Linked DNA regions of Ovis aries. The protein of the gene in region 2 purifies or fractionates together with the protein of the main gene of each other region. This does not show direct contact. Links are inferred from orthologs where the notes say so. Each region holds a gene or a part of one and is shown on either strand. Other genes may lie near its edges. The genes, in order: CSNK2B and RPS6KA1.

Region 1 (12,278 bases), on a different chromosome or scaffold from region 2:
GGATGGATGTGGGCTGTTTGAGGCAGGCCATTGAGGAAGCCACAAGGCCAAGTGTAGTGGGCAGGGCTCTGCAATGCTGTTTGAACCCCACGCCCAGTTACCTTTAACTTGTCTACACCTGACCACACCTGACCCTGCCCCCATCAAAAACATGACAAGGACTCTGGGCAGTTTGTTTATTGTGGAGGAGGACTAGGGAGTGCAGAACAAGGGACAGACCCCCTCCTCTCCCTGGGAATCTGTGCAAGTGGGTGTCATGGCTCAGGGATGTGAAGCGGAGCTGAGGAAGCCAGAGACTGGGAAAAGAGATGAGAGCAGGCAGCTGACCAGGCAGGAGCATGGCGGGTAGACAGTGAAGGAGGGGCGCCACAGTGCTCAGTCAGGAAACCTGCACGAAGTCCAGCTCTCACCCTTTCTGATGCAAGTTCAGTCTGGCACAGACTGAACTAGCTAGGTATAGCAGAGTGGAAACAGCCAGACTGAGAGAGATCAGGAAGATGGGGGGTGGGGTGGGGGTGATGGGACATTCAGTTAACAGGACAGTGTCGAGAAAACCATTGTGCCTTTACCCAGGTCAGCCTAGGCAGAATCCGCATTTGAGATTATATTCTAGGTGGTCGAAGGGCTCTGGGTACACTGCCAACTGCTTTTTTCGGGGAGGAGACGAGACCAAAACCATACGGACACCGGAAGGACAAAGGAAAGGCAAAAGAAAGGAAGACTGAGAACTTACAGACCCAAGAGTGGGAGTGTTCTGAGAAGACAATGCATGATGCTGGGGTGCCAGGAGTGAGACGCTAGACCAGACAGAAATCTATCTGCGCAGGGAAAGATGTCAGGGACCAGCCCAGGGAAGAGTCAAAAGTCCAGAACTGTTGAGGAACAGGTATATGCTGCGCAGGTCAGCAATGGACAAACTCAGATTCACGGGTGGGCCAGCCAGGGGGTCCAGGCCTTCAGAAGGCTCCTCCCCAGCAGGGAAGCTGGGCAGGGGCAGTGACAGGTTCAGGGTTTGGTAGAACCACAGGATCTGGGACTGAGACAGGGGCAGAGCCAGGGACCTGTCAGGGGGCTCAGGCAAGGCACTCTGGAGCTGGGGACTGTACCAGGAGTTGCAGTAGTCATACTGGCAGCACTGGGCCGAGTACCAGTACTCTGAGATGTAGGTGGGGAGGTTTTCTTGGCAGCGGTAGGAATTGTGTTGTCCACAGCCTCGGATTAAGAAGCGAGCTTTGTTCTCTAGAGAAGAAGGGACAACTAATAACCCTTGTTGCCTCCCACAGTCACCAGAACTGGTACCCCTTTCACAGACCTGCCCATCCCTCACCTAGACCCAATTTCCTTTCCAGACTCCTGCAGAAGAGGCCAGAAGAAATTAGCTTAATCGGCTCCCCAGAACTCCAGACCCCTCCCCTACCAGAAACCTCCATCTCCTTAGACCTCAGGCCCCAAGCAGCCCTCATTTACAAGAGGAGACAATGCCATAGGCTGTCCTGCCAGTGGCCCCTTCCCTGCCTGACTCAACTCACCATGGTTGATGCTGATCACCATGCACGGGGATGAGCTGCTGATAGTGCACTTCTCTGAGCCTGAAATGCATCCTACAGCAGGATTTTCTAAGAGGCAGAGGTGGCAGGTCCGGACTTCAGAAACAGGAGCTGGGGAAGCGGAAGACACGGATGGTGGTGTTGGCCCACTCCAAGTTCCCTGCCTTGCAACATCCCGCTCATCCACCGCCACCCTCTCCCTGTACTCAGCCACCCCTCCTGCCCTGCCCCTGCTCCACTTACCCTTTCCCACCGTGAAGCCCACCATGACCAGTGCACCTATAAGCATGTGGGCCTTCATCATGGACTTCTGGGGAGAGGGGCATTCCCCGAGGGGTGCCTAGAAACCCCGTGACCACACTCCTCGAGCCTGAACTGCAAGGTGGTTTTGACAGGTAGTCTGGGCAGGAGCTGCTGTAGGTACAAAGCTATACTCCTCCCTGGGGCAGGAAGCAATTAGCTTGGCAGGAGAACATGTCCTCACCCACCTGGTCTGGTTCCTGAATGTGGGAGCGGCAGCCCAGACAGGTGCAATATCTGGGCCCCAATCCAGCAGTCTACTTTTGTCCTGAGTGTCCCTCAAAGATCTGTTCCTGCCCCTCCAGGGTCCATGGATTAGTTTCATTCTCTGGTACCATCTGCCATCCTCCCTACACAACAGGGCCAGTCCCTATTGTTCTGGGAGAAACTTTAACCAGGAACCCAGTGACCTTCATCCTTCTGAGATGAGCATGTCTCAGCTTCCCCAGGAGGGGGCACATAGACACAAAACAGCAAATTCTGGACCTTGAACCTCTTCTCCCCACCCCTTACAGTTCAGTTTATTTTGGGACCACTTTCTTTATAAAACTCAAAGTGATGTTGATTACATCCCCTAAACAGCCAACTGCAGGCAACACAAAAAGAGCAAATATTTCTCCAGTCTTTGAAATCCGATTTCTGTCTTTGCCTCGTGATCTCCGTACATCCCTACACCCAGTCCTAAAAACATCACCCAAATCTACTGGGTACAAATCTGTGCTGGTTTTCCACTTGAAGAGAGTGGGCTGAGCCAGGAGGGCTCCTGGGGCCCAGCATACCATTACCCGTGCTTCCCCAACCCCAAACACCAGCCAATCAGCCCATGGCCTTTTCTTCCACTTTATTTCATATTCCCACCACAATAATGACTCCTTTAATTTAAACTAAAAACCATAGAGGGTTCCTGAAATTGTGGCAGCAAAGGAATGAAAGTGTCAAAGACCGAGGGACAGGTGGGGTGGGGAATCAGCGAATCGTCTTCACTGGGCTCTTGAAGTTGCTGGCGGCTTGGAGCTGCAGCTGGTAAGCCATTGGATGGATCTTGAAACCGTAAAGCCTGGGTTGGGGCAGAGGTGAGAGAGGAAGCACAGTGAGCCCCATCCTGGCCTGCCAGTGGCCTGCATTCCCCCCTACCCCAGTTTCTTCATGGGCCTGCTCAGTACTTCAAGGCAGCGGTTCCCCAACTTCTCCCTTTAAGAATATTTGGAAATGTATTTTAAATATCTATTAAAACTCAAATTCAAAGCTACAAATATGTGTCTGTACATATATACATGAGTATATACATGGCAGTACTTGTTTTAATATAAAAGCTGAACTTTCTTTTTCTACACCAGAGCAAAAATGATACTGCAGGAAGATCATACACTTCAACCGTGGCTCTGAGAATTTCCTAGCGAAAGTTGAGCACACAAAATGGCAGCAAGGCTAGCTACTGCCTCATCCTCCCTTCTTTCTGGGGGATCCAAGGCACTTCTTTCGACCCTTGGTGACTCTGTCCCTGCTCCCCACCTGGGCACAAACTGGTTGGCGGGCCTCTTGGGCCGGTACTCGGGGTGCACCATGAAGAGCATGTGAGGGAAACCGGTGCCGAAGTAGGCGCCATCCGTGTGGTGGTGCCTCGATGACTTGGGTGTGTACACGTCCATGCACTTGGGGCAGTAGAGCTTCACCATGGCCTCACCTGGGATGTCTGAAAGGCCTGGGAGACAGCCAGACTCAGCAGGCCAGGTTACCCAAGCCTGCCCAACCTCCCTCCTGGACTCAGGCCCCAACCTGCTGAGCCCCAACTCCATCCCAGCCTGCCATGGCCCTCCTTTCCCTTTCCCAACACTCACCGATGGGAAGCATTGGCTGGTTCTCACAGTACACACGGGGACAGTATCCAAAGTCTCCCTGCTGGTACTTTTCCAACTGATGTGAATGAAATTGAAGGAGTTGGTGGGTAGGTATGAAGAAAAGAGGCAACCCCCTCCTCAGCCCAATCCACATCACTGTGTCCCCAACTCCTTCTGCCTCTTAATGTCCAGAGGCCCCTTCTCTGGCTCAGATGGGCCTTCAGACTCCCCTGCTTCCTTTCATCCAGTCAGGCAGTCTGAAGATCATCAGACATTCACTGCTTATTCCCTGAGGAAGAGGCAGTCTACAACTTTCTGCTCTAGGTCACATCTCCCTCCCCCAAAACACTCCCTTCACCTCAACCCTCAATCAGGTCTTAACCCCTAGGCCCAGATTCTGGGGTTCTTTCCCCTCTTCTCAGCTAGATTCCGTGACAAGGCTGAAACGAGTGACTTCTTGCTGATGGAAACTCTGCTTCCCTGTTGCCTCTGAAGGAACCGAGTAGGAGTAGAGAGGCCTCACCATCTGGGCGATGCCACGGTTGGTGAGGATATAGCGGGCGTGGATCAATCCATAGAGCATTTCGGCTGCTTGCTCAATCAGGTCACTCTGGTTGGGGTTGTCTTCCAGCTCCTCATCTGAAACATGGCACCAGCCAAATGCAACCACTTGTCTTACAACTTTTTAAGGTGCCCTGCCTACTCCCAGGGGCTGCTGGCTCTTCAGCCCAGCACCCAACTTGGAGCCTCACCCCACCCACAGCCTGGGCCTCTGCCCCTTCCACCAACCCAAGGGTTTCTTTCCATCCCTCTCAGCCTCTGCTTCCTTCTCTTTTTTAATAAATAAATGCAAAGATGTCAACACAGAAGATAGAACTCTAACCTGGAAGGGGCAAGGAAGAAGATAACACCCATGGAGAAACTAGCATTTTCGATAAGTGCTAAGTTATAGGATCAGAGTATGAGAACAAGTGTAGAAGTCACAAAATTAGGCAAGAGTGAGGTATGGAATCAAAATGAAGTAAAGGATTTGGGGTTAAAAGGGTTAGAGAACCAAAAGGAAATTTAGAAATTCATGAAGCAGATAAACAAGGTGTGAATAGGAAAAAAACAGCACACACACAAAACAACCCTGAGGGTGTCTCACCAGGCTCCAGGTCCAAGATCATGTCTAAAGCTTGTCGATAGTGAGGCACCTGTTCATTGAGTCCAGTGAGATTGAATTTGTCCTGGATATAGTCTTCATCCACCTGTCAGGACGTGAAGTCAAAAGGAAACCCAAAGCAGAATCCTCAGCTTTGACCTGGGCAGGGTGCTCTAACTCGTGCCTTATCTTCAACACAACTGCTTCATTCCCTTTGTTCCACACTCCCAACTCAGCAGAAGTACTTGAACCTCTCTCCCTAGTTCGTGTATACTGCCCACCCAGAAGAGGTCTGGCTTTTTTCTCCTAAACATAAGCAATCCCCTCCTTACAGAGGCAGTCCTTTCAAGATCCCTGTCCTGATTCCTGTTCCTAGCTCTAGGAATCAGTTTTGGCCTCTCCTGAGGGGCAGCTGGCTCTCTGAGGAAGGTGGGGGCTGAACAGCTTGGATTCTGAAGTCAGTTACACTCCCTTATGTTAACACACAGCCATGCTATAAAACATTTTAACGTGAAGTGTTTTAATTCTCCTAATAGCTACCAGAAATACATACTATCAGTACTTCCCTGGTAAAAAAAAAAAAAAAAAAAAAAAACAACACAGGTTGACAAGTCCAACATTAGGCTGTTGGAGGGTGGCAGGGTTGACTTGGGGTCTCAGTCTTGACCCTTCACCACAAGTTAGAGAGCGCTACTAAGGAGACTCCTCCTTGACAAGAGTTTTTACTAAAGTATGTAAGAGAAGTGTGTGGAAGCTTTATGTGCAGGAGATTATGTGGCCAGATTACATGTGGAGGTGGATGGTAGGGTTGAGGAGAACTCACCTCACAGAAGAATTCATTGCCACGGAGCCCACAGAACCAAGAAATCCAGGACACCTCCTCTGAGCTGCTCATCTTCACGTCGGCTAGAGACAGAAGAGTATAAGCCTAAGCTCTCCCTCCCAACCTCTGGTATCCTCACTCCTCCCACACTTTGCCCTCAAACCATGGAAGAATTTGGGGCTACCCTTTTCTTAAAGAACCCGAGACTGGAGCACGTCTCTCTAGCTCCTCTTATTTACATTCCAGCCCCTTTTCACTGAGATTACATAGAGAAATTCTTCGGGGTCCACCAGCTGTGAGAAACCGACAGGTCTTGACCCCACTAGTCCTACCTCCATCCCTGACGCTCCTGAAAGCCAGGCCCCTCTCTCCTCCGTGTCAACTCCGGTAGGGCCGTGGCTCAAGCTCCCTACCCCCGCAAGTCTCTGGCCCCATTCTCAAGGGTTCCGAAGTTTATCCTTTCCAAGCAAGAGCTGGGCCCTCCTTTTCTCATGGCCTATAGGTGGTGGTCAGGTCCGTTTCATAGAAGTCCCGACATCCCGCCTCCACCCTTCGGGCCACCTCTCCTACCCTCGGTGCCGGACCGGGTCATTTCCTTTCCCACCCCCACATCAAGACGCGGAGACCCCATGTGCCGCGCCCAGGGACAGGGGACATGGCGCGGCGACGACCACCACACTCACCGACTGGACGGGGACTGGGACCGGGGGACGGGGAGGGGAAGGGGAGTTTCTGCTTCCAAAGACCGCGACGACGGCTACAACGCAGGCCGCGGACCCGACCGCGGCAGGCGAAGTGGGGTGGGGGGAGTGGAAACTGGGGAGGGTGGGGAAGAGGGCAACGCGCAAGTGCTTAGAGTTAGGAGCCGCGGTGCATGCCGGGAAATGGAGTCCTTGGGAAGAAGAAACTGACGAAACTAGGGAAAAGCGAACTACAAATCCCAGGATGACCCGCGCACGACCCTGGTGTCACGAGGCCCCGGGGGAGGGGTACGCTGGGGGCGGGGCGCAGCAGGGCACTGCGAGCCGCCACCGGAAGCGGAAACTCAGTACCGCGTTCTGGGCCAGGTAGCCTGGGAAATATAGTCGTGTGATTCCGGGGACTGCAGGGCCATGGAGGGGAGGGGGTGGGCCGGGAGAGGAACTAGGCTGGCTGGTTGCTTCTTGCTTCTCCCATCAAACAGCGAGCCTCAGGCCTCGGCGAGACTTTGCTGCCCGGGGCATTGACCTCATCCCCAGCCAGCCAGCCCTCCTGGCCCTTATTGCCTTGCTCCTTGGAGTCAGCCCGCCAAGGAGACCCGCGACGGGGCCCTTGTTTCATCCGGGGTTCGCGCAGCGGAGGCGGGAGGTGAGGCCGGGTTCCATGCTGAGGGTCCTGGGTAGGGTGTACTGGGATGAGCTGAGCGGTGTGAGAACCAGGACGGCCCCGTGGGCTAACCTGAGGTGGTGCCAGCCATTCTGCTGCTTGTCCCCTTGCACTTCTCCATTTCCTCTTAGGGCTTGAACGGGGCTGCTGTGGGCGCTAAATGCGACCTTCGAACCCTGGTCAGAGTAATGGTGAGGGGCTGCGTGACGTTATTTCATTTCAGGGTTTCTGGGCATTCTCCGCCTCAGAGCCTTTTTTAACCCTGAGAGTGATTTCCCAGGTCCAGAAAATGAGCTCGGAGCGGGGGCCACGTTGAGGGAGGAGGCGAAGGGCATTGTGGGGGCGTTATGTAAAAACAGAACCCCAACCGACGGATCTTTCTCAGTCCTCGCGCTGCCCCGGCACGTGGTGCGTTGTGCTTCTGCTATGGAAACATTCCAGGGCGGGAAAAACCCGGCGCTAGCGCGCGCCTGCACCCTCAGGTGTTTTGTTTTGTTTTGTTTTGTTTCCCCGGCCACGCATGCGTCTTTGTGCCCTGTGATTATTTGTCGACTCCTTTGCTTAGAGTAGCGCCATTTTGCAGTACGGAAGCTATAAAGCGACACAGACTGGAACCTCTTCCTGAAAGCTGCTTCCTGCTTCCGGAGACGTGTCGCGTTTGTTTTTGTTTGGGAAGAACTTACCCTGAAATAGGAAGATTTAAAGAGCCAATTTGATTGTTTTTCTTAATGGTATGTTTTACGCTGTGATAAAGTTGTCTCAGAGAGGCTGGTATTGTTGGTGCGGATGGAGGTAGGGGCGGAGCGCACGGTCTGGGCAACTGTCTTACGGAGACTTCTTTCTTACCTTTATTGAGGGGCATTGTCTGTTACTGACCCTACAGGGTCCCAGGTTGTGGGGTCACTTTTGGGTTGGGAGGGGATTTTTGACGCTAAGGATACTTTTTGTTTATCTCATTAGGTGTCTGGAACTGGCTCTGGTCGCTGCAGGACCACCAGGGGCTTGGCTTCCTAGTCTCATTTTCCTAGATTTCCCAAAAGCCATGTCTGGGTCTTCCCTCATTAACTTTACCCCAGCCACTGATTCCAGTGATCTGTGGAAAGATGGGCAGCTGCAATCACAGCCTGAAGAGCTGGAGCCCATCCTGGAGGGGGCTGCAGCCCGGGCTTTTTACGAAGCCTTAATTGAAGATGAGAGCAGCACCCCTGAAACCCAGAGAGCTCAGCCTGGGCCTGCCAGGAAGAGGAAGAAAAGAAGAATGACGAGGGAGACTGCAGCAGGAGCAGCAGGAGGACATGGACAAAGGAGATCCCTTGACACAAAGGACAAGACGACCCAGCAGATACTGAGGGCAGCCCAGGAGGGGGACCTGGCAAAACTAAAAAGGCTGTTGGATCCCCGTGAGGCAGGGGGAGCTGGAGGGAATATCAATGCTCGGGATGCTTTCTGGTGGACCCCTCTGATGTGTGCCGCCCGAGCAGGCCAGGGGGCAGCTGTGCGCTATCTCCTGGGCCGTGGGGCTGCCTGGGTAGGGGTCTGTGAGCTGGGGGGCAGAGATGCTGCTCAGTTGGCTGAAGAAGCAGGTTTCCCTGAGGTGGCCCGCATGGTCAGAGAGAGCCCTGGAGAGACAAGGAGTCCAGAGAACCGGTGAGGGAAGCCTTATCTTTTAATATTGTTTAAACTTTTAAATCTATTTTTGTTTTATTGAAGCATAATTCAAGTATATAAATTACATATGTACAATATAGCAATTCAGGATTTTTTAAAGTGATATTCTGTTTATAGTCATTGTAAAATATCTGCTAAATTTCTGTGTTGTACACACTCTCTGGGTTTAAATCCTGATTGTACTTCTTGGGCAAGCAACCTAGCGTCCATGTGGCTCAGTTTTCCTATCTAAGAAATTAGACTATACTTCTTATAGGGTTGTTAGGGTTAATTAAATGGGTTAATATACATAAAATACTAGAACAGTGCTTGTATTTAATAGCATAGTAAGCACTGTACAAATGTTAACTATAGTAATTATTATTTCCCACCCAAGAACGTTGTGAGGCCTTAACCATTCCTTCAGGTCCACTGTTGCTAACTGGGAAGGAAAGACAATTTGTTTCTTGGCAGAGATACTGGAAGGACCTTGTCCCACCCTGCCACCCACCTCTGAGGCCTAAACCCTTGTGTTACCCTTAACCTTTCTCTTTTTTTCTCTCCAGGTCCCGATCCCCCTCCCCCCAGTACTGTGAGACTTGTGATGCCCACTTTCAAGACTCTAACCACTGTACATCCACTGCTCACCTGCTGTCGCTGTCCCGGGATCTCCGGCCCCCCATCCTACCACTTGGGGTCTCTACCTCCAGCCCAGGCTTCAAGCTGCTGCTGAGGGGGGGCTGGGAGCCTGGAATGGGGCTAGGACCCCGGGGTGAGGGCCGTGCCAACCCTATCCCCACTGTCCTCAAGAGGGACCAGGAGGGGTTAGGCTACAGACCAGCACCTCAGCCCCGAGTTACACATTTCCCAGCTCGGGATATACGGGCAGTGGCTGGGAGGGAGAGAGCCCCTAGGGTGACCACACTGAACCGCAGGGAGGAGAAAAGGCAGGAAGAGAAGGACAAGGCCTGGGAGCGGGATCTGCGGACATACATGAACCTCGAGTTCTGACTTGGGCAAGTTCTGACCTTGGTGTGTTGCTGAAGTCTGAACTTGGGCCCCGAACTTAGACACTTGGGCTTCTACTTCCTGATGTCTGCCCAGGTTCCACACCTTCTGGTTTTGATTAGTGGACTCTGCCTTCAGTAGAAAGAAGCCAAAAGTTGAGAAATAAAATCAAGCTTTTCTCCGTCTTGGTGTTTTATTCACTTCTGGAAGCTGTTGCAGGGAAGCCAAATGAGACGGGACCACATGAAATTCTACCAGAACCAGAAGAGGCAGCTCCTCTACGTGGCCTGATAGGGTTGCCTCTGCCAGTCTGGTTCACTTCTAGTCCCCAGCCACTGCCCTTAGTGCCCCATCTATTTTCAACCCCTGAACCAGGAATTACCCATCTCTATGCAAGTCTATGCAGAGCTTCCCTGGTGGCTCAGATGGTAAAGAGTCTGCCAGCAATTCAGGAGACCCAGGCTTGATCCCTGGGTTGGAAGATCCCCGCAAGAAGGAAATGGCAACCCAGTCCAGTGTTCTAGCCTGGAGAACCCCATGGACAGAGAAGCCTGGTGGGCTACGTTCATGGGGTCGCCAAGAGTCAGGCATGATTGAGCGACTAACACTTTCATGCAAGTTTGACCTCCCACAGAAAGCACCCTCTGTCCACTCTAGCCAATTCAATCACTGATTTCACAAGTTTGTATACTATGTGCTATGAATGGGAATGAGACAAGCCCAATCTTAAGGCTGCTCGCACCTGTAGGAGACACGATGTGATAAAAAGAATGCATGGTGATGGGGAAGTCAGGAAAGGCTCAGAAATGATCACGGGTGGCGTCTTGCAGGAAGAGGGCAGTGTGATACGAAGACCAAAGATGTAGCTTGTAGGCTGTTAGCTGAGCTGGAACCAGAACTCTGGCCTCCCAAAGCTACACTTTAAGCCAAGGTTCTTCATTTTGATACCCGAAAACTCCTAAGGGCAGGAAGCACATCCTGTTTGTCTACACTTGTCTTCCCCATACTTCCTCTCCTGCTTCTCCTGCCTCATACCAGGTGCCAGGCATATGAAGTGCCCACTGTTGTCAAATCCAAGAGGTAAACATCTGTGCATGGAGGAGCAAGGAAGGGCTACTCAAGCCCCAAGCCTCCTCTCAGCTTTCTCTTCTGGAAAAGCCTTTCATGAAATCGTGAACTAGAAGAGTGGAGCGGGATGCAGGGAAGAACTCAAGGGAACTAAAGGGGGCGGGCAAGCTTAAGGGGATACCAGCGGCCGGGGGTTTCTAGGCGACGAAAATGGAGCCTGGGCTTATATTCACGCTTTTGGCTCCTGTGACCTCGGCTGTACGCCCCTCGGTACGGCCGGTGCGCTCTCATGGCGCGCACAGGCAGCTCGGGCCGGGGGCGGGGGTTGGGGGGCGGTCGATCGACAGGGTCCGCCCCGCGAGCTGGGGCTCCGCCTCCGCCTGTCCTCTAGTCCCGGTGCGGCTGCTTCCGGGCTCTGCGCTCCGGGCGGCTTCGCGAGGCCGAGGCCCCGACGCTGGGCCCGGGAGGGGCTGCATCGCTTGGATGCCTGGACGCCAGGCTCCCCAGGCAGGCGCGCGCTTTGCCTCGCTCCCGGGATCTCCCAAGACATCTCCGGCCTGACCTTGCGAAGACTGAATCTCAGCTGCGGGCTGGGGTGCCAGTGGGGCCACGTTATAGGAATCACAGCCCTCTGAATCAAAGCAGGAACGTTGCTGGCTGGAGTTTGCCGGATACCTCACCCCCCACTCACTTAACAGGAGACTTCTTTCTGAGCTGCCTTAGGGCAGCAGTTAGGACTCTCCTGGTCGGTCGGGAGCATCTAGGAACCGAGGCCACCTTCCTTCCTTCCTTCCTTTTTGGATGGAGAACCGCCTCCCCAGTTTCTGGGGCACCTTGGGGCGTGGCCTTGGTGAGTGAAACTTGGGGTGCTGCCTGCTGGGAAGGAAACCTGGAAGACAGGGAGGACACTGTGACGGTGTCCCAGGCTTTGTCAGATCCGTAGACTTTTGGAATCTTGTGTGTGTGCATAGTGGGGTGGTGGTGAATGGATTTGAATGTGCCTCTCTTTACCTTAAAACTGAAACGGAAACAAGCCGCTTCAGGCTGCATGACCATGCCGGGAAGAGGAGAGCCACTTCTGAGTTCAGAGTAGGACTCTCCAAGCAGATTCCTGTTCTTCTGAGCCTAAACACACTCTGGTTTCTGAGGAAATCCTCAGTCCTCCATCCAAGAACCTAAGCCGTGCCAGGAAGCAGCCCCAGAATTGGAGGGCTCATTGCACACCCCAGCCATGTTCCTCCGACGCCTTGGTGGCTGGCTCCCTCGCCCCTGGGGCCGCCGGAAGTCGACAAGACCTGACCTGCCCACCCCAGAACCCAGACGGATGGACAGCTCCTCTGAGAATTCAGGGAGTGACTGGGACAGTGCCCCAGAAACCATGGGAGATCTGGGGTCTCCCAAGACCCAGGACTCAGGTGCACAGAGGAGCTCTGGGGCTGCTCCAGAACCAAGCAGGGAGGCCCAAGTTGAGCAACTGGGGTACAAAAGAATGGATTCTCTCAAGTGGGAGATGACTGCTTCCAGCACCCAAGAGTCTG
Region 2 (12,280 bases):
TCCCCATGGCTGGCAGGGCACAAGAAGGGGCAATAGGAAGGAAGCTGTCTCCAAACTGCCTGCACTGGAGGGGTGTGTGCAGGGCCTGGGAGCTGCCGGTGGCAGCAGCGGGGAGGACAGCACCAGATCCCACCCCCTGGTCGTGGCCCCATTCCCCCCATAGATACTTCCTCTTATTTACTTCCTCCCACAAGGCAGCTGGAGAGAAGCCCAGAGCGCGCCCCCCGCTCCCCGCCGCCCCCGCTACCACACTCCCTGCCTGATCCCTGGCCTGTAGGGTCCCCATCCCAGGCCTCCCTCCAGCAGCTGCAGCCCAAGCCCACCTGCTGATCTCTGGCCCTAACGGACATCAACAGCCCCGCCCCCAGCTGGCAGCATCTGCAGGGCCTCCCAGGGGTGCCCCCTCTCATGGGGCAAACATCCCCAGACACCTCTCCCGGCATGCCTCTCGGCAGTGGGTCCACAGTTCCCAGGCCTCCTTGATAGGCGAGCTGGCCTTGGGCCCGAGGCCAGGACTGGTATGCAGTGACAATGAGAATTGTGCCTCTTAACTGAGTATTTATTGCAGGAAGCCATTCTTTCCTTCAGCTTTTATTGGTGTGCATTCTGCCAGGCTCGGGTGTCCTACTCCAAGGGAAGTGCTGTCATCCCATTCCAGAGAGGAGGAAACCAGACTCAGACAGAAAGTGACTTGCCCAAGGCCACATGGCCAGAAAGGCGGACAGCTCGGGACAAAATCGAAGCCTACAGGCCGAAGCATTTCATCATCACCCTCCTTGCGAGGCTGCCAGCCTGCATCCTCTCTGGACATTACTCACAGCTATGGGCCCCCGGCTGTGTCCCCAGACCAGTAGCCAGACACTAGGAGGCGCACGTGTTAAGGAAGTCTTCAGCCTTGTCCTCAGGCAGCTCCCCGAAACACACAATAACGACACGGAAGCATGGTGTGCAACAGCGCAGGCAAAGAGCTGGAGGTGCCCACAGGTTCTCACTACCTGCCTGGGGTAAGATCTGGGAAGATGCGACAGTCTAGCTGGACCCTGAAGATGAACAGGAGCTGGCCAAGCAGAGAGGAGGAAAAAAGACACTCCATATAGAGAAAGACCAGCACGGAAAAGAGGCCAGGAGGGCAGGGTGGGAAGTTAAGAACCGTCTACTCATTTGCTCCCGTGCAACCCTCACTCCCTATCTAAGCCTCAGTTTCTTCTGTAAAATGTTCGCACCCTCAAAAGGTTGTTTTGAGAAGCAAAAATGGGCCACAAAGATAAAGGGATGTGGTAAACAGAACTCCCTGAACAGCAAGGGCTTTCTTACTGCGGCAGGGGCTCCTCTGGGCAGGCTGAAGGGACAGAGTCCATGGGTCTCAGGTGTTGAGAGGGTGGAGGGTGAGGGAGCCTTCCCCGGCCAGTCCCAGGGAAATTCCCCCCCAACACCTGAGACTCCCAAGGCTCCCCGAAGTCCACAATCACATCCTGCCTGAGCTCCAGCCAGGGGAGCATGAGGGATCCGGGAGGGATCAGGGTTTCATAAACAGGAAGAGAGGAGGGGAGGGGGAGAGACGCTCAGCTCTCAAAATAGACCTGCAGGCGCTTCCAAGGGGTCCAGCTCCGGAGATAGCCAGGGAGGGGGCCTGGGGTGCCCAGTCCACCTCCAGGAAGGGAGGGAGGGTGAATGGAGCCCCAGCATGCCTGAAGGACCAGGTGCACACGGGGAGCTCTCATCCTAGACTGCAGTCCTCTCTACAGCTGCTAAAACCCCAATCCTTTCTTCTGCCTGAAACGGATCAAATAAACAAGCATTAAACACCAATATGATGTCTCAAACACTGCTGGATGCTCCAATTTATGCACATCACGTTCCCTCCTTCTGGGTGGCCCTGACGGGTGGACTCTATTCTCCTTTTACAGAAGAGGCATCTGAGCCTCCGAGGGGTAAAACAACTCGCCCAAGGTCAGCTGGCAAATAAGAAAGAGGAGCAGAATTTTGAACTCAGAGAGCCTGCCTCTCCTCCAAGTCAGGCCTCTCCTCCCCCTGGAAGGCCCACTTCTCTCTCCAGCTGCCCAAATCCCGGCTTTCGAGGCCCAGGCAAACACCAGCTCTGCGGGGAAGGTGACCTGGTGCCCTACAGCCCACGTTTCCTCTTCTGCCACACACAGCAGTGCCCGTCCATCTGGTCCACCCTCAACCTTGAGAGTGGATGCTACTGGGTTCCCTGAGACGTGCTCATCTCATCATGCCCCAGAGAGGCAGGTAGGAAGGTGGTATATTTCACTGCCCACTGTCAGGCCTGGCACTGAATGGAGGTTCTATGTGCCCACAGCCTGTTCCTCCCCATCACTGCACCCACCACACAGCTTTCTTGTCACCACCCTTCCCCAATGCTGAGAACTCCCTGAGGGTGGGGTGTTGACTTCATTTTGGGATTCCCAGTGCCATGAACATGTGATGATGCAAAAGATAAACCAGCTCCTTCCACTGCACAAAGCGATGAGGTTCTGACCACAGGCTGAGCGCCCCCTGGTGTGTTGAGCCCAAAAGTGGGCACTGGGGATGCTACAAGATTCTGCAGCAACAGAGAAGGTGAACGAGCAGGTGCCGAGTAATGACGGAAACTGTGCTCACGGGGACGCAGTGCTCCTCCTCTTCAGCACTCAGTGTGTCTCCTGGGCTGGGAGGAATGTGGGTTCTGTGGTCAAGCAAGACCTGACTTCATTGCCCATTAGCGATCTGACCTAGGGCCTCAACTTTCTCATCTGTAAAATGGGGAGAGTAACAGTTTCTACCTCTGGGGATGTTATGAGAACCAAATGCAAAGCTCCTGGTATGGCACTTTCTCTCCCTTAACGTAGCATTCAAGGCTCTCCCTGCCCCATCCACGTCCAGCTTCATCTCCCTTCCCACCCCAGGATCTGCTCCAGAAGCAGGAAGGAATCACAGACTTGGGATCAAGAGTAGTTTGTCCACCTGGGTAAGTGCTTGTCTTCTCTTAACCAGCCCCTCTAGCTCTGAGGTGAGAAGCTGTACTCACCACCAGTTCCCTCAAAGCTGCAGGCACCTTTGCAACCCCTAGAACTACAGCCCCAAGATCTGAACATCTGGACCTTCACTGGAGACCTACAGTCCCTTCATTACTAGGCAACCAGGAGCAGCTACTTGGTGGGAAGAGATTCTCCCACAGGAGGCTGAGACATGGGGCTGAGACAAGTCAAGGGGCTCAGTCCACATGACTCGGCCTGGCCTTTGGTGACCCAAGGTTGCCATAGTAACAAAAAGAGGAGGGGTGGGAGCCTACTTCTGTTGGCCTGCCCTACCCCAGGAAACTCGGCTCCCTTATCTTAGGAGGCTGAGTCAAGACAAACATCAGGACCAGCCCTCAGTCTATCTCAAAGGTCAGGCTTATGGTCTGGTACCTAAGCAGACCCAGGCCAGAAGGGCGCGGCCACTAACAGGCAATGGAGCTGAGCAACACGGCCAGGCACTCAGGCTGCCAGGACTAAAGCTACTGTGTGCCAGGCAGCTGCTCTTCTATCTGTTCTTCACGTCACTCCTGAGAGGTAGGAGGCAGGTACCATTATTCCCATTTTACTGCTGAGGAAACCAGACTCAGAAGGGAGAAGCTTCAGGTCAAATGGCGATGGTGGAGGCAGGACCAGAACTCAGGTAGGCTCTACCGCCAGAACTCAGGCCCTGTCCTGCCTGGTGGCTTCCACAGCCCCTCCCCAGCCAGCAGCTCTGCGACCTCACAACGCCTTGAGAACTGGGTGAGGCCATTCCCAGCACGGCGATGAGAAAGCCCAGGCCAGACTGTCCCCCAGCCTCATAGTGCTGTCAACACACAAAACCAGCAACAGGCCCTGGGGGCTGAAGGGATAGACCCAAGGGGAGCAGAGAGCGTAGAGCTGAGGGAGCCGGCCTGGGAGGGGGCCTGAGAAACGGCCTGTGTGCCCCACGCCAGGCACTGGGCCCTGGTGTGACTGGAGGCCACCAGGCTCCCTCCAGCACCAGGTGCCATGCCCTCGTCAGGCCCAGTGGACTTAAGCCTCTCCCATCACCCCTTCACCCTCTTAATACAGTCAGCCAAGCCACCACGAGTAAATAAGCAGAGGAAGCGTCCTGGTCTGGGGGACGGGTAAACCTGAGTTCTAGCCTGGCTTCTGACCCTGTCTGGGCCATAGTCCACTCCCCTGAGGAACCGGAAGGCTGAAGCAAGTAATCCTGACATACGGGGCTGCCTCGAGCATTAGGTGGGCCCAGAGAAGGACTTGGGCTTCCCTGGTGGCTCAGATGGTAAAGAATCCACCTTCAACACGCAGTTCAATCCCTGGGTTGGGGAGATCCCTTGGAGAAGGGAACGGCTACCCACTCTAGTATTCTGGCCTGGAGAATCCCATGGACTGTATAGTCCACGGGGTTGCAAAGAGTGGGATATGACTGAGTGACTTTCACTTTCAGAGAAGGAAGGCTGAGCTGGGCCAGGGGGCCTCACACCTGGGCGGGACAAGGTCAGTGCCTCCTTCCTTGTCCACTCCAGGCAAACAGTCACTCCACCCCTGACGATCCCTAGCTCCGGTGCTAGGGCCTGGCCCTTACCTTGGATGGCTGAAGCCCAGCTTCCTCCCCTGAGGCTTGTCCATTCTGGAAAAGAGAGGAGAGAGTGGGGAACACTGTCAGAACTTACCAGAGTGGCACAAAGCAAAGACAGACCCTATGGGGCGCCCCAGCCCTTGGATGCTCCCAGTGGCTAGAGGGGCCCTGGAGGTGGGGGCGGGAGTTCTGGGAGGGGACAGGCCTCAAGCCTTCTGCAATCGCCCCAACTCAGGTAGCCCGCTTTGGGCACCCCTCCCATGTTCTCTGCCTAGAAAACATCTCATCTTTGAAGGTCCGGCTCAAATGCCATCTCCTCCCAGTGAGAAGGAAAGGACTGTGGGTGTGTGCCAACTAACCAACTCAAGAGGCCTCAGTTTCCCAATCCGTAACATGGGTATTTACATCCACCTCCTAGAGTTGATGCAAGGGCTGAAGGACATAAAGTCTGGGAGAGTGTCCAGCCCAGAAATGCTCTGGCCCTGCCTGCTCTGGGACCCCTCTCCATCCTTGCAGAATCACTGCTACTCCCTATGAACCTTCATTTTACCACTTATCACAATGCAGGGACTACGGACTCGTGGGCCGTGCGTGCTAAGTCACTTCAACTGTGTCCAACTCTTCGCAACCCCATGAACTGTAGCCTGCCAGGCTACTCCAGACAAGAGTATTGGAGTGGGTTGCCATTCCCTTCTCCAGGAATCTTCCCACCCAGGGACTGAACTCATGTCTCTTAGGTCTCCTGCATTGGCAGGCAGGTTCTTTACCTGGGAGCCCCTCCTAATAAACGGGAAGTCCTGGGAGGCAGAGATGAGGCTTTTGGTGCTAACAGCTGCTCTCTTCCGCGCCCCTGCTGCACGCCGGCACTGGCTTTGGTACCTCACATCTGTGGCACCATTAAACCCTCCTGACCTGGGAGGTAGGCCCGGGTCCCATTTGGCAGAGAAAGAAACTGAGGCGCAGAGAAGCCTAGTGACGGCACCTAAGCCACAATGCTGCTCAGCGGGGATTCAAAATCCGGTCTCTGACACCAGGAGGTGCTCAAGAGACTGAGGAAGAGGAGCCCAGCGCCCAGCCAGGGCAACAGAGATGCAGGCATGGCAGCTCACCCCTGCACAGTCCTCCAGACCCCAGACTTCACCCTCCGCTGGGTGCTGTCCACCCTGGGTATACCACCCCTTTCCTGTGTGATATGAAGTGAGTAACCTACCCCATCCGGGCCTTGGGAAGCTAAACGGAGCGGTCTCCAGCCCTCATGTGCAGCAAGAGTGTGGAGAGACCAGGAAGACCCAGGACTTTGGACCAGGGGCCAAGTCCACAGGGCAGCTGCAGTCTTGTTGGCAGCAGCAGGCACAGCTGTGCTTTCCCCATTATATAATCTCCCTGCTCCTGGAGCAGCACTCCCTCCCCGCCAGTCCCTGGACATCCTGCCCCTTGAACCCCCTTAATGCCCCTAATCCTCCCCAGGGGCCAGCGTTCTGAGGCTCCACCATACGTGTTCTCTCTCAGGAGCTTGGGGAGCAGGACTGGGTGGAACCAGGCCTGAGGGGAGGAGGAGGCGTGAGGCCTTCGTAGACGGAGTTCCACTTCACCCAGCATTGCAGACTCTTGACATAACTCTGGATGGTAACAAGGGCCTACACACCAGCCTCCCCCATTCTAAGCCCTCACCCTTCCTAAAACTCAACTGCAACCATTACATTTGAGTGACTCCCCTGGTCACTCACTTACTCCTTACTGAGAACTTTCTAGGTGCCAGGCCTCAAACTCTTCCACGGCTTCCCACTGCCTGTGGGATAAAGTCCCAGCTCCTTGGTATGGCATTCAAAGCCGTCATCTCCAGCTCCCACAGGTGATTAATGTGGGTTCTGGAATCTGACCTTGTGGGTTCAAATTCTGGTTTCTATCACCTGCATAACCCTGAGGTTACTGCATTTCTCAAAGCTTCAGTTTCCTCATCTGTGAAATGGGGATAAAAGTAATGTACCTCACTGGGTAGCTTTAAGAAGCAAGCAAAATAGTGTCTATAAAATAGATACATCCAGGGACGTCCCTGGTGGTCCAGTGGGCCAAGACTCTACACTCCCAAAGCAGGGGGGCCCAGGTTGGATCCCTGGTCAGATCCCACATGCCACAACTAAAGATCCCAAGTGCTACAACTAAGACCTGGGACAGCTAAATAAATATAAAAAAAAAAAAAAAAGTACAGCTTGCATATAACTGGTCCACAAACAATCACCATTATTACTATCCCGATTTTGGAGCTAAACTGAACAAGCTGAGACCCTGAACAGGCCAGCTTGTCCCCAAGCATTCGCACGGTGGCTCCTTCTACCAAGAAAGTCTTTCCTGCCCAGTCACTCCAGCACACTCCTGGTCTTCTTTGAGGACCTGGTTAAATGTCTTCTCCTCTGTCCATACAGCCTTAAGTCCTTTCCTCCCTCCTCTGGGCCTCACAGCACCGAGCAAACCTCAGATTAACTCAGGGAGGAGCCACGGCTTGTCCGGTATTGTCTCCTTGGCACCCAGCTCAGGGTCTGGCACATAGCCTGTCAAATGAAACCTCAAACCAGCAAAGCAAGCAAGGAGGCCAGAGTAGGTTCTATTCCTCCCATTTTTCAGATGAGGCTCAGAAGAGCTGAGTGACTTAACTGTGGCCTCTCTGTTAGCAGGTGACAGACATGGGGCTATGACCCAGAGTCACGTGAATCCCCAGTGAGAGACAGGAGGAGGTGGTGGGTGAACCCAGAGGTGGGCGCTTACAGGGCAGTATCTTGGAGGACTCAGGGAGCCTGTCTGGCTGCCTCCAGTCCCGGGGTCTGGCTTGGGTGCCATCCTCATGGAACGCCCAGGCCTGTAAGAGCTGATGCACAAGGTCTCTAGGGGGAAATGGGCGGCCCTAGCGAGAGCACTAGGAGTGCAGAGAGGACCACAGGTGACCTTCCCCTTGAAAGCCAGGGTCCTGGGAAGACAGGGCGCATCTGCCCTTCCGGACTGACTATTGTACAGAGGGTGGAAAGAGCACAGGTCTGCAGCCACAGAGACAGAGCCCCTGCTGCCGGCTCTGCCAGCCACTCGCTCTGAATGTGTCTGTCACATTACTTCTCGAGCCTCGGTCTCCTCACCTGTACTAGGCGGGCAGGTCTGTCTTGTTCACAGTGGCACCCTGCTGGTTGGAGAAGTACTTGCCGCATGGTAAGTGCTCAATAAACACTTGCTGAATGAATGAATGAGGACAATGATACTGACCTTGCAGAATACTGAATGGAAGACCTCGTCTATGAGTCTACAGGAAAGGCCTTCTGGCCCCTAAGAGGGTGGAGACTCTCTCCTCCCGCTTCCTCAGAGAGCAATACTCATGGGCACAGCGACCGAGGGCCCCCAGGCCATTGCGCCCCCTCCCCAGAGGTCAGAGATGGGTTCCAATAAGCATCCTTCCTTCCCACCCAAGCCACTCTGTCTTGGGAAAAAAAGCGTCCGGGGCAGTGTCTGGAGAAGCTGGGCAGCAGATGGACAAAGACAGCACGTGCCCCATAGGCAGGAAGCAGCCCCAGGAGTTGGGTTCAGAGCCCAGCACTGGCAACTCTGCCCGCTGCTGGAAGCTGGGGGCCAGGTGCCAGGGCTGGCGGGAACTACTAGCCCTCAGCCAAGGCTGGACAGGAGAGTGTGCCAACATCCGGAGCCTCTCCTGGAGTACCTTCCACCTGGCCGGCTTGATCCCAGCTCTTGCCTGTCTTTAAGTCTCCCCCCTACTAGGTAGAAGACAGCGAGAGATCTGGATTCTAATTCTGACTCTGACATTAATTCGCAGGCCAGGTCCCTCTGAGTTCAGTTGTTCCATATGATGACAGAGGTAATACTCCCTACCCTGAGAAGCTGTTTGCAGAATTATTTGACTTTAATAAGGCCACCCTGGTGGAGTGCGGTGGACAGCACAGAGCAAAGCTCTGCACAGCAAGGCTGGGCCTGCGGCCACGGTTACTGAGCCCAGCAGGGCCAGGGGAAGGCCCCGGCAGGATCCTCACCCACACTTCCAGTGGGGTGGCTCCACCTGGGCCACACCCCAGACAAGGCCCTGCCTCTGAGCAGCCCATTCTCGGCAGCTTCACAGGGAGGGCAGATCCCAGGCCTCTGCCAAATGCCCTGCCCAGCCCCTCGGCCTGCCTCCCTCCCGGCCAGGAGCCTGTACCTGCAGGTCAGGGTGCCGTATCACTTACGTGTCACCTGGGCTGAGAACAGCAAGGCCCTGTTCTCCAGTAAGAACCTGCACCCAACCCGCGCCCTGGCCGCCCCATGGCTCCTGTTACCCAAACAATAACACCGAGTCGCCTGGCACTTCCATGGAGTGGGGAGGAGGAAAATGGGCAGCACTCCTTAGGCCTCCGTACCCTCTCAGGCCCAGAAAGCAGAGGCCAGAACCCAGCCCTGGCCAGTGGAGAAACAGAGGTCCAGAGAGGCTATGGACTGACTGAGGGTCACACAGCAAATTCAAGGTGAAGCTCCTGGAGAAATCACAGCCCCCCTAAACCAAGGAAATAAGCCTGCCTTTTTTTCCTCTCAAAGTTCAGGTGGAGTAGGACTAAAACTGAATTGAGTTTCCTGTTTAAACCTGGTCCCTGCCTCAGGATTTCCCAAAGAGAAGCAGGAAGCAGTGCCCTGGACTGGGAATTGAATTTCTGGGTGTCTGCCTTCCCAACTAGTATAACCCACAGTAAGTCCCTCCCTGGCCTCTCCCAGTCCACCTTCCTCTAGGGAGGCCTAGGTCTCAAGTGTGTGCCAGGACAAAGGAATTTACCTCTGAGCGCCGCCCCCAACCCCTTGTGCCCCAGTCCTAGAGGGTGGGCAGCCCGTGGCTAGGGGCTGCAGAGGGCCGTGTTCCTCAGTTCGGAGGGTGAGTCAGCGGGAGAACTTCTGAGCTGTGCAGGGCCCGTAAAAACCCCATGGCAGGGATCCCAGAGCAATTTACTCCAAATTGCGCCTTCAGGTTGGTTACCTAATCTTGCCGCGCCCACCCTCCAATAGCCAGTGTCAGCGGTGACCATCCCTTTAAAGGGGCAGCACACTCCGGGTGCTGGGGACCCAGGATCCTCACTCAGCTCCCAACCAGCAGCCCTGAGGGGCAAGGCACTTGGTGGTTGCCCCAGGTAAGAGAGGGCAGAGGAGGGGATCTAAGTGGGGAGGGGTCCAAGCCCCAGCCAGAAGAAAATCACTTTGGGTCTCAGGCTCTCTGAGGTTTCCATCATCTCCCTCATATCCCCACATACCCCTGGAAAGGCAGTATCACCCACTGTCCTTCCCATAATGAGGCTGAGGGGAAAGTTTTCTCCATCTGCCAGTTCAAGGGCTTGACCTTGACCCTGGGGGGCACAGGAAGAGCAGGCCTTCTGCAAGGTTAGGGCCTAAACCACAGTATCCTCAGGAGGCAAAAGTTGCTTTTGGGAGAAGCTAGGCAGGCAAAGGCCAAATTCCCTAGAGGCCCAACCCTTCCTATGGGAGGGGGCAGGAACCAAGGACCTCCTCATCTCCAGGAATAATTTTCTCAAAGGTCTAAGGACTTTTCCCCATTCTTTTCTCTCCAGCCTGGGAGAGGTGACACAGGCGTCCTCTGACCCTAGCCTGGAGCAAAGAAAACCAAGGGTTTCAGTCCCAGACGGGCAGAGTCACCCCAAATTCCACAACTGCGACGATCAAGAAGGAAATCCTTCTAAGGTCAGCAGCGGAGACGCCGGGAGCCCTTGGGGTAGGGCCGCTGTGAGACATCAAGAAGTTGGCAGGGGGCGCGGGGGAGGGGGCTCCCATGACCCTCGTCTCGTGGAATCCAAGACATCTGGCATCCCAGCCCAGGTCCGTCTGCCCTAATGAAGGAACCTCCGACGGCTCCGGGTACAGGTCCCAGGTGTGTGTGGGGTGAGGCGGGGGTCAGATCTAAGCGCAGCACAGGATTCGCTCTCCGGGGTAAGGGGCTTCCTCGGGGCTTGGCAGAAAGGTCCCTCGCGCACACACACACGGGGCATTAGGGGGTGGAGCCGGAGACGAGGCTGGAGACCGGAGGGCACTCGCGCCCTCGCGGGCGCCCGCCAGGCTACAGCGGCGCCGCGAGCCGCCCCGCCCCTGCGGGGACTCGGGCTTGCCGGCCGCCGGCGCCCGTCCCCCGCCCAGCTCACTCACCTCCGGGTCCAGCGGCACCAGCTCCATGAGCGGCCAGGGCTCCTTGAGCTGGGCGAGCGGCATCGCGCCGCCGCCGGGCCGCCCGTGCTCCACCGGCGGCCAGAGCCGCGCCGCCTCCTGGGTTCTGAGGTCCCACGCTCAGCGGCCCCAGCGCCCCCTTCCTCCCCGCCGAGACCCTCTTGCTCTGGCAGGGCCGTCCGCCGCCGCCGCCGCGGCACTAGCACTTCGGCTCCCTCCGTCACCCGGCGCCGCCGCGCCCATTGGCTACCTGCGCGAGGGGGCGGGGACAGCGAAGCCCCGCCCCAGCCCCCGCGGCGCGGCATTCCCAGGGAGGACCCCCGCCTCCGCCACGCCGGGAGTGAGGGCCCCGCCTCCACCGTGAGCCCCGGGCCCACGCTCCCCTCCACCCAGGAGAGGCCCTCCTGGCTCCTCCCTCCCAAGCCCGGTCCCCGGGGCCCAAACCGCCCCACACTCAGCTCATTTGGAATAGCTCCCCAGATGCCCCCTCTCTCTCCAGCGGGCCTGTACCCCTTTATTCCCTTTACCTCCCCTATCTCCCCTCAAACCACCGCCGCCCCTCCCCCCCACTCCCAGTCACACCGAATGTCCTAGGCCTGACCCAGGGAGAAGCTGGAAAAGGAAAGGAGCCTGAGCCGTACTCCCCTCGTTGCGAGGCCCTAGGACACTCTCCGCATCCCACCCTCCCACACCCCCAAAGCGACAGTGGGATCCCCTGCGCCCCAGCTCCGGGCAGGGTACGGATCTTCTTTCGCCACCATCAGGGCCCACAGTGCCTCCAGACTGATATCTTAATACGTGTGCTTTGCTCTTTTCAAGCCATGTCTCTCCAGAATCTCTCCAGCTGCAAACCTGGCTCCGGGCTGATTTGGGTTTGTGCCCCCTCTGGGGAGGCTCCCAGGATCCACCGACACTTGGGCTGCACTTGTAGTAAGAGGCCAGGGAGAGGGATTCCCCCTGGAGAGACTCAGCCTCCATCTAAAGCGGTGTTAGGAGTCCAGGTGTGGTGAGATTCACCCCTGGAAGAGTGTAGAGATGGGCTTGCGGGTTTCAGGGAGGGGGAAGAATGGCCATTTGCAAAGCTGTTCTAAGGCAGGATTGTTTATCAGAGGTCTTCTTCTGATCAGGCTTCACCAACTTATGACCTCCCGGTTTACACGTCATAAAACAGCTTCAGAAAGTCACCCTCGGGTGACTTACCCGAGGTCACACAGCAGGTTGGGAACGGATTATAGGACCTTAAAAAAAGTCAATAAAGGTTTCTCCTGAATCCACATGTTCCCATTATTTCATGATTTTCCAAGGGTAGCACCTCAACTGTTGAAGTGAATTGAGTTTTGAGTGGAAAAGACTTTGGAACCTAACAAATTTGGGTTGGAATCCTGTCCTTGCTACATCCTTAACGTTGGAAAACTCCTTTCGTGTCCCTAAACCTGTTTCCTTATCTGTAAAAAGGGAATCATGATTCCAATCTTTCTGGTATATCCTGAGGACTAGATTTAATTCAGTA

Evidence for each region.
Region 1: the proteins of RPS6KA1 (region 2) and CSNK2B purify together in Homo sapiens (affinity purification with mass spectrometry; 4 studies listed by BioGRID and IntAct, with this or other methods). This does not show direct contact. The link is inferred for Ovis aries from reciprocal best matches to the Homo sapiens genes RPS6KA1 and CSNK2B.

What each region holds. Positions count from the first base shown.
Region 1 is NC_056073.1:26,709,582-26,721,859, forward strand, and holds CSNK2B (casein kinase II subunit beta), read right to left. Parts: upstream 6,461-12,278; 5' UTR 6,336-6,460; intron 5,736-6,335; 5' UTR 5,725-5,735; coding exon 5,653-5,724; exon of another isoform or gene 4,936-5,652; coding exon 4,833-4,935; exon of another isoform or gene 4,325-4,832; coding exon 4,209-4,324; exon of another isoform or gene 3,762-4,208; coding exon 3,686-3,761; exon of another isoform or gene 3,550-3,685; coding exon 3,360-3,549; exon of another isoform or gene 2,905-3,359; coding exon 2,814-2,904; 3' UTR 2,674-2,813; downstream 1-2,673. Other genes in the region: LY6G5B (lymphocyte antigen 6 complex locus protein G5b), read right to left, coding at 836-1,239, 1,530-1,658, 1,791-1,851; GPANK1 (G patch domain and ankyrin repeat-containing protein 1), read left to right, coding at 8,060-8,664, 9,231-9,675; C20H6orf47 (uncharacterized protein C6orf47 homolog), read left to right, coding at 11,972-12,278. UniProt on the Homo sapiens protein: Regulatory subunit of casein kinase II/CK2.
Region 2 is NC_056055.1:240,327,152-240,339,431, forward strand, and holds the start of RPS6KA1 (ribosomal protein S6 kinase alpha-1), read right to left. Parts: upstream 6,026-12,280; 5' UTR 6,011-6,025; coding exon 5,795-6,010; intron 4,636-5,794; coding exon 4,591-4,635; intron 1-4,590. UniProt on the Homo sapiens protein: Serine/threonine-protein kinase that acts downstream of ERK (MAPK1/ERK2 and MAPK3/ERK1) signaling and mediates mitogenic and stress-induced activation of the transcription factors CREB1, ETV1/ER81 and NR4A1/NUR77, regulates translation through RPS6 and EIF4B phosphorylation, and mediates cellular proliferation, survival, and differentiation by modulating mTOR signaling and repressing pro-apoptotic function of BAD and DAPK1.